Notamacropus eugenii: one gene and its partner. The protein of the gene in region 1 interacts with the protein of each later gene in a pairwise test. Links are inferred from orthologs where the notes say so. Each region holds a gene or a part of one and is shown on either strand. Other genes may lie near its edges.

Region 1 (3,916 bases):
TGTTGACCTGGATGGAGAGGATTCTGTGGGCTGGTAGGATATATATATATTAACCCACTATCTATCTATCTATCTATCTATCTATCTCTCTATCTCTCTATCTCTCTATCTCTCTATCTCTCTATCTCTATCTATCTATAGATATGTAGTGGGTTAATTTAGAGGTCGAAGGGACCTCTCAGAGACTATCTAGTAGAATTCCCCCATTTTTGTAATAAGCACATAGTAGGTGCTAAATTAATGCTTGTTGAGTTGGATGAGAGAGATTCTGGGGGTTAATTGGATATACATATGTTGGATCACAGATTTAAAGATGGGAAGGACCTCAGAGGCTATTTAATCCACTTCCTCCATTTTACAGATGAGGAAACTGAAGGCCAGATGAAGTGACTTGCCCAAAGCCATTTAGCCAGAAAGTAGCACAGCCAAGATTGAACCCAAAGCCCTGATTCCAAATACATTGGTTTTTTCTATTTTAAATACATTGTCTCCGAAGGAGCTCATTCTTGTTAACACTTAGCTGGCAGAACCAGCCCTGGTTTCATCTTTCAGATCCTGGGAAGCTCACCTCACCTGGCCCCACAATTATCATTATCACATTCCCTTCCCACACTGGTCAATGACTCCAATTGTCATACTCTAGAGATGGCTTCTAGTATTATACCTAACTCACTTAAAGATCCGTCTCAGGGAGGTTGATGGAGCTATAGGGGGTCAGCGTCCATTTTAATAGAATGTCAGAGATGGACAGGGCCTTTGGGATCACCAAGTCTAACAAGCGAACTGAGGGACCTGGATCCTGTGATTTCCAGCCATAGCTGGGAGTAGAATCCAGGGCTTTGAGGAGGGAGAAAAAAATACATTTATTAAGTACCTCTGTGCCCCAAATTGTGTTGATCTTCACAACTCTTCGAGGTAGGTGCTGTTATTATTTTCCTTTTAAAACTGAGGAAGCTGAGGCAGACAGAAGTTAAATGACTTGCCTGTGGTCACACAGGTAAGTGAGGCTAGGTCTGAACTTAGTGCTTCCTGACCCCGGGGCCCACAGCCCTATCCACTGCACCAGGGAGGACCAAGCATAGATGGCTCTGGAAAGTCAAAGTGGGGATCAAGGGCTGAATAGACCTAGAGAGTCAGGCACCTCCTAGACATGAAACCAGAATCTGCCCTCTGCCCCAGGGGTGGGGATGGTGGAGGGTGGCACCCATGCCCCAGACCATGCCCCCTGTTGGTTGGTTGGTTGTTCCCTCCCCCTTCTTCTTGGGAGCTGAAACCTTAGTGTCCCCTCTAGTGTGAATGGGATCTGCTGGCTGCTCTGGACACCTGGGCCCCTCCCCTGTTCCCTCCCCCCACCTCCTTGGACACCTAGGTCCCAAAGGCCTGGATAATAATAGCACAAACACTCCCCACCCTAGTGGCCGGAGGAGTATTCTCTTGTTTTTCTCCTCCCTCCTTCCTCCAGGCCCCGCCTCCACCTTTCCAATCCCAGTCACTTTACCGCCTCTCCAGCCTTGCCTCCCGGTTCTACCACCTCTCTACTCCCCTCCCCCGTCCTAGCACATTTTCTGGAAAGAGAAACTCAGGAATCTGACCCTGGTGTCCTGGACCCTCGGCTGTCACCAGACAGAGCCGGACGTTGGACCCTAGGCATTTGAGCCTCTCATACTGGGGCTTCCCAGGTAGGAAGAGAAATATCCAAGAAAACAACCTCCACTCACCCTTATCCTCAGTATCTTTGTAGCTGCTGTCTGTGCCAGGGCCCCTTACAGGTGGACTTGATGTCTAGTGGGCAGTGTCGTAACCCCAGCCCCGTTCCCATGATGGCAGGTGGAACCTATGAAGGTTGGAGGGCTAAGGAACCTGCAAAGGGTACTGGGGTGGCGGGGAGACACAGGTGGATAAAGGCAAGGTATGTCCCTCCCCAAACAGATGGCCCCAGCCAGATGTGTAGCAGCACCCAGGGTCCAGGTAAGGGCCGAGCTCGGCAGCTTTTCCTGTCTCTTCCGACATACCTGGGGACGCCCTCCTGCCCAGATCCTTCCTTCTTTGTTTCCGGCCTGCCTGTGTTTTCTTCTTTCACCTGCTTCTCCCCTCTTTCCATGACCTCCTTTGGGTCCTCTGTGACTCCTCCATTGCTAAAGGTCTCTTCTGTTTCTCTGTGGGGAGAATATTTGCCAGCATTGTGTCAGCTGAAGGGTGGCGGCAATAGGGAATCTTTTCTCATTTGGATGATTTCTGCTTCCCCTGGACAGCCCTCCCCCTTCCCTTCCTAAAAGGGAGATGGGGGTTGGAGGGAGGCATTAATTGGAGGCTCAGTGTCACAGTAAGCCCCCATTCCTGTTCATCTCTGCAAAGCTACTGTGAGCTTGCCCTGATTGGGATGCCCTAAGATTTGTCTAGAAAGGGGTCTATCTGGGCTTCTTGAAAACTTCATTTGGGGGATCAGTAAAATGATTAGGGCACACTGAATTAGGATTAGTTTTGGGAGGAGGGAATTAATTGTTCCTTCTTTCTCCCTAACTTTCCTTTCATTGCAGATGGGCTCAACACTGGTCCCCACCTTCCAGCTCCCCAGCAAAAGAGCTTAAATCTCAAGGATCTTGTTAACTGGGTTCTAGCTGTGTCAAAGAATGTGGGTGGAGGACAAGGGAAACTCAGCAGTGATACCCCAGTTTCAGGGCAGCTTTGCTGGGAGCCTATCCACCTCAGTCCACCAAGCAATGAAAGGAAAGTTGGGGAGAAAGAAGGAAATTATGAGGTTGGATGTCTGGGTCCCCGTGCTAGAGACTGGAGAATGGAGAGATGGGGGTCCTACTGCTTCATTTCCCACTGTAGGATGAGGTAGGAGAGCTCTCTGTACTCTGAAAAGGATGCAGGATAGTTGGATTCCATTCTTGCTATACATTCTTCTCCTCATGGGGAATTTCAATTTTACTTCCCTAGTGCAGCTTTAATAAAGACTGGGGATAAGAAATCTGTTACTTTTGGACTCTGCTTCCCTCCCCCCCCAAATCAGCTTAGGGGAGATGGGAGCTCTACCCCCCTATCCCCCGGGTAAATAACCAATAATGATTAACCCTAATCAAATTTTGGCCACTTTTGCATATTTTCCAAATTAAACTTTAAAAGAAATCCTCCCCCTTTCAGAGGCAGACACACCTTTGTTGTGAATATCTTCTTGTGGGTAGGTTGAACCTCAGTTTCCTGGTATCTTCCTACCTGATGCAAAGGTCACGGAAGATGTCATCCTGGGTTTCTATATTGTTTACCAGTGATCTCCCAAAGTTGCACCTCAAAGATTCCCCCTTTTCTTCCCAAATTTCATTTAAAGGGAGAATCTGGGATTCTTACTCCAAGGGGGAGATTCATTCCCCGCAAATGGGGATGCAGGGACTACCTCAGCCTATGGAGAGAAGGGAGGACCTCTACCAAATAACCTCTGGACCCTTTTCCATTGTCCAATCCTACTTCTTCAACCTTTACATAATTTTTTCCAATCTTTCCCCTGCCCTACAAAACTCCCAGTGTCTCCCAGACCTCCAGTGCCTCACTGAGAGTTTTCAAGACTGTGATGTTTAGAGTAGGACTTAGAATATTTAATATTGTGGTCCCTGACCCTCAGACTTTCCTCTCCCAGCTTTTGCTAGCCAGGTGGGGCAAGTTTCAGGAAGTAAACAAGGAGGCTGGGGAGAGAAAGGGGGTGGAGAAGAGAGCTTCCGGGGAACTTGGGGTGGGAGGGAAATACTTTTGAGGTGCGGAGAGCTTTGGCGGAGTATGAGCTTCTTTGGAGTACGGAAGTCTGGGGATGCCTGAGGGCAATTCCCCTCCTTCATGAACCTTTCCCCCCTTTGTTTGTATTCTCCAAACCAGTTTGGTAGGTGTGGGAGGCCAGACTGGCCATTCCGACTTTGCCCCT
Region 2 (3,916 bases), about 81 Mb from region 1:
TCTAGGTCCACTCTCTCCCAAATTACCGTATTCTTCTCTGCTATTGATTTCTCAGAATAGTTTGCTCTTTAATGCAGAAAGCCTTTTGAGTTGTTGATTCCCCAGAGCAAAAGTGAATTTGTCTGTTATTTGTATCCAATTATGATGAATCTAATTAGCTTATTACCACTTAATACTAAATTACATTGCAATTCTCCTGGTATCTAGGGCCTTTTCTTTTAAGGACTCCCCAATTCCTTTTTCTTTCCTTTTGGGATCCTCCAATTTGATTTTTTAAAAATCAGACTCACAGGATTAGAGGATCTAGAGAGACCTTACAAATCATCTAGTTTAACTCCTTCATTTTGCAGGCCAGAGACCCAGAGCAGAGAAGCAATTTGCCCAAAGCTCCAACGTGGTTTAGTGGAGAGGACAATGAACTTGGAATCAGGAAAATCTGGATTCAAGCTCATGACACTTACTAATACTAGCAGTGATCCTTCATCATTCACCTCCCTATTGCCTCATTTCCCTCCTTTACAAAACCAAGGAGTCAGACTCCATGACCTTTAAGGTCCCTTTTAGCTTTAAATCTTTGATGCTGAGTTGAAGGGACAAATTTCAAACCTATGTTCTCCTCCTCCCAGTCCAGTTCACTTTCCATTGTAATATGCTGCCTCTCCCACAAAGAAATCACCCTTTTTTTCCCATTCCTTTCTTTGAGCTTTCCTGATCCTATCCTCCTTCTTTCCTCAACAAACGCCCAGTCCTTGCTATATCTGTCTTAGGCTGGTTGGCCTCACCTGCACAAGCTAGTTGAACTCCTCCTATGTGCATCCACTCTACGCTGTAACCTGTGACCTTCCTCTGGATCCAGAAGTGGTTTAGAGGCCACTTTGTGATCTTTGCTTCCTTGTGGGTGGGCTTGTGGGAGAAGAGTGTGGTACGTGAAGCACTGAGTGAGGGAGAGATGGCCAAGTGATAGAGAGGAAGCCCTGCTAAGAAGTAGAGCCTCCCTGTGCTGTTAGAAGGTAGCTGGCAGCTTTACCAGAGTGGAAACAGAGAGTCAGCGGCAGGAAACATCAGTTCCAATGTGCTGATGTAGCAAGGGGCACAGGAAGCGGTGATTGGTTTTTAATGTGATAGAATAACAAATATTTTCAGTGCTTACTCTGTACTTAACATTTCCCTGGGTTTGTCTGGAATAGGAAGAGGGGAATGAATGACTTTGGGCCCTGGCATGGGAAGGGTGCATTACTCTTCCTGGATTTCCGAGACACAGTGAGATCAGTTAACTCACAGTTGGATTTCTTTTTTTCTCAGGAATGAAGAAGATGGAAGAACTCACAAAGGTTGTTTAGTCTCTCTGCTTTTCTCTATAAATAGCTTTCTTTACATTTACATGTCTCCCCTGGTAAGATGTGAGCTCTTTGAGGGCAGAGACTGCTTTACTTCTGTCTTTGTATCTGGCACAGAGCTTGCTTCGTAAATGCTTGCTGATTGACACTTGCTAAGGGATAAGGGATTTCTCCTGTTCTTAACAGTTTCCGAGGTGGTTAACATGGTTTTGCCCCTTGGGTGTCATGCCCTATATGCCTGAGAGTCTGAAAATATTTGCCAATGTGTCTGATTTGAATGAAGATTCCCTTACTGGCTGACCTTCATAGACATCTCACAGTAGTGACCCAAGGTCACATGGGTATCTCTTGACTAACAATCACTTTTGCCTCTGACTCTTTCCTTTTTTTTTCTAAACCAACTTAAAACCTCCTTGCTCTGTCCTCTGTGTGCCCCACCCCAGCAGTCATTTTTATGTGCCAACCCACAGGTAGTGTAGTGAAGTGGACAGCAAGCTGGCCTTGAAGACAGAAAGACCCACATCTAACACATTGGACTGTAAGTTGCAGAGAAATTGTTGCTTGTCATTGTTAGAGGGAGTTTTCTCATCCATGGAGTCCCCAATATCACAGTTCTTAATCCTTATTTGACATCCTGTTTCCTTAATAAGAGCAGCCCCAGACTCTGGTGACTTCTAAAAAAGCTCTGAAAGCATCTTGTACATTTGCTTAGATCTACTTCACTCCATAATCCCTCCTCCCTTATTGGGAAAGGTCCTCGGGTAGAGGATGGAGGTAGAAATGTTGACAACTGGTACTAAATTTCACCATCTTCAGGGAGAATTGCCATTTTGCTGCCTGGAACAAGATCCTTCTGGCTTCTCTTCACCCATTCCCCAAGACTCCTTTCCCTTCCCAGAGAAATGGATATAAACAGAATACAGTGGTTCACTTACCATGATGTCCCTCCTTCACTGTATGCATTCAATTAAATCTTCCACTTACAAATTCAACTCTCAATTATTACATATCCTCCCTCCCACAGGGAGTTAATATGCTGTCTATTTCAGTTCCATAAATCCCTTCTAACTCCCCCACTGTCCCATTTTGACAGTGACACCCACATGCTTGATTCTGGCCACCCCATCCATTTTCTCACTCCCCAAAAAGCCATCTTACCCAGTAGGAAGCAGAAAGGGAAGGTGAAACTGGCAGGAATTCCATTCACCCAACAGACCAGCTCTAGGTCATAACCTGTCCCTTGGCTGGCTTCTTCCTTTGACTTGGAGTTCTAGCACCTCATAAGGAAAAGCCCTCAAAGCACCCGGGATGCTGGAGCAGGTGAGAGGAGACTTGATGAAGGAAGAGAGAGACTCTTTCAGTACAGACTTGAGCCCTGAGCCCATACAGAAAGCGTACAATGAAGGAGAAGGGAACATGGGAGTAGGATTGGAAATAGAACATTGAGAGAACATTTACTGCATTGCATCCTCCTCACTTGAGAAGTATGTCTGTTGTGGGATTGTTTTTTAAGGCTTTCCTGGGTGGGGGGTGTCTATGTGTGTGGGTGTGAATCTTTCAGAGGCTTGCCCCTCCTACCACTGTGTCTCTTACCTCCTACTTGCCTGCTTCCTCCATTCTAATCTGACCAATAGTCACATTCTCCCTTCTAATTATTTTTCCTCCTTTGGAACTCCCACAATACCTTTTTTTCTCATCCTACTTGTGCACATATCCCACTGTCTCTTGTGTCATCCTCAACTAGATTGTGGGCATCGTGAGGTATTCATCTTCTTGTCTTTTAGGTTCCACTGTTTGCAGGTAGTAGATAAAGAGGGGGTATGGCATTAGAGATAGACTGCTGGCTTTGGAGTCAGAAAGACCTAGTTTAAATCTCCCTTGTGACACTTCCTGACTGTGTGACTTTGAGCAAGTTATTTGACTTTTCTGAGCCTGTTTTTTCATCTGTAAAATGGGGTTAAGATTACCTACTTTACAAAATGGTTGAAAGCATCAACTTAGGAAATGTAAGTCAAGTGCCTTTCAAACTTCGTATGTATATATATATATATATGTATATATATATATGTATATATATGTGTGTGTGTGTGTATAAAGATGCATAAAAATAAACTATTAATAAATAAAAGTGCTATGTAAATGTTGGCAATTAATAAATAGTTGCTTTCTCTCCTCCCTCCTCTCCTTTCACACATATCATAATTAAAGTGGTATAACATCCCCAAAGCAGGGTGCAAAGCAGAGATTCCACTACTATGACTTCTTTTACTTCCTCCTCCTCCCATACAGACATACCCCATTTGACATCATTAATTGGCTCTACAAAAATTACATTTTTGGTAGGATGATGTTGCAAGAAGCACTTCAATCCAAAGGAACCATGTTGTAATTGGGTGATCAGTCAGCCAACCAATATCCCAGCGGTTTTGCAACTTTATGTAAGGATGATTTGGTTAGAATGTATTAACTGCTTGCTTGTAAAAGGATGTTTATTGGGCCATCCCTTTATGGGGTATATTTTCCTTCCCTTTATTTTCCCCACTTTCCATCTCAATCTAAATTCAGACTACTGGCAGCAG

The links.
Region 2: the proteins of GRB7 (region 1) and LAX1 interact in binary tests that used the Homo sapiens proteins (3 or more experiments, as listed by UniProt). The two-hybrid records come from large-scale screens. The link is inferred for Notamacropus eugenii from reciprocal best matches to the Homo sapiens genes GRB7 and LAX1.

Annotation. Positions count from the first base shown.
Region 1 is NC_092873.1:355,269,756-355,273,671, forward strand, and holds the start of GRB7 (growth factor receptor-bound protein 7), read left to right. Parts: upstream 1-1,605; 5' UTR 1,606-1,679; intron 1,680-1,929; 5' UTR 1,930-1,943; coding exon 1,944-1,968; intron 1,969-3,916. UniProt on the Homo sapiens protein: Adapter protein that interacts with the cytoplasmic domain of numerous receptor kinases and modulates down-stream signaling. Promotes activation of down-stream protein kinases, including STAT3, AKT1, MAPK1 and/or MAPK3. Promotes activation of HRAS.
Region 2 is NC_092873.1:436,194,703-436,198,618, forward strand, and holds the start of LAX1 (lymphocyte transmembrane adapter 1), read right to left. Parts: upstream 2,824-3,916; 5' UTR 2,496-2,823; intron 2,481-2,495; exon of another isoform or gene 783-2,480; intron 1-782. UniProt on the Homo sapiens protein: Negatively regulates TCR (T-cell antigen receptor)-mediated signaling in T-cells and BCR (B-cell antigen receptor)-mediated signaling in B-cells.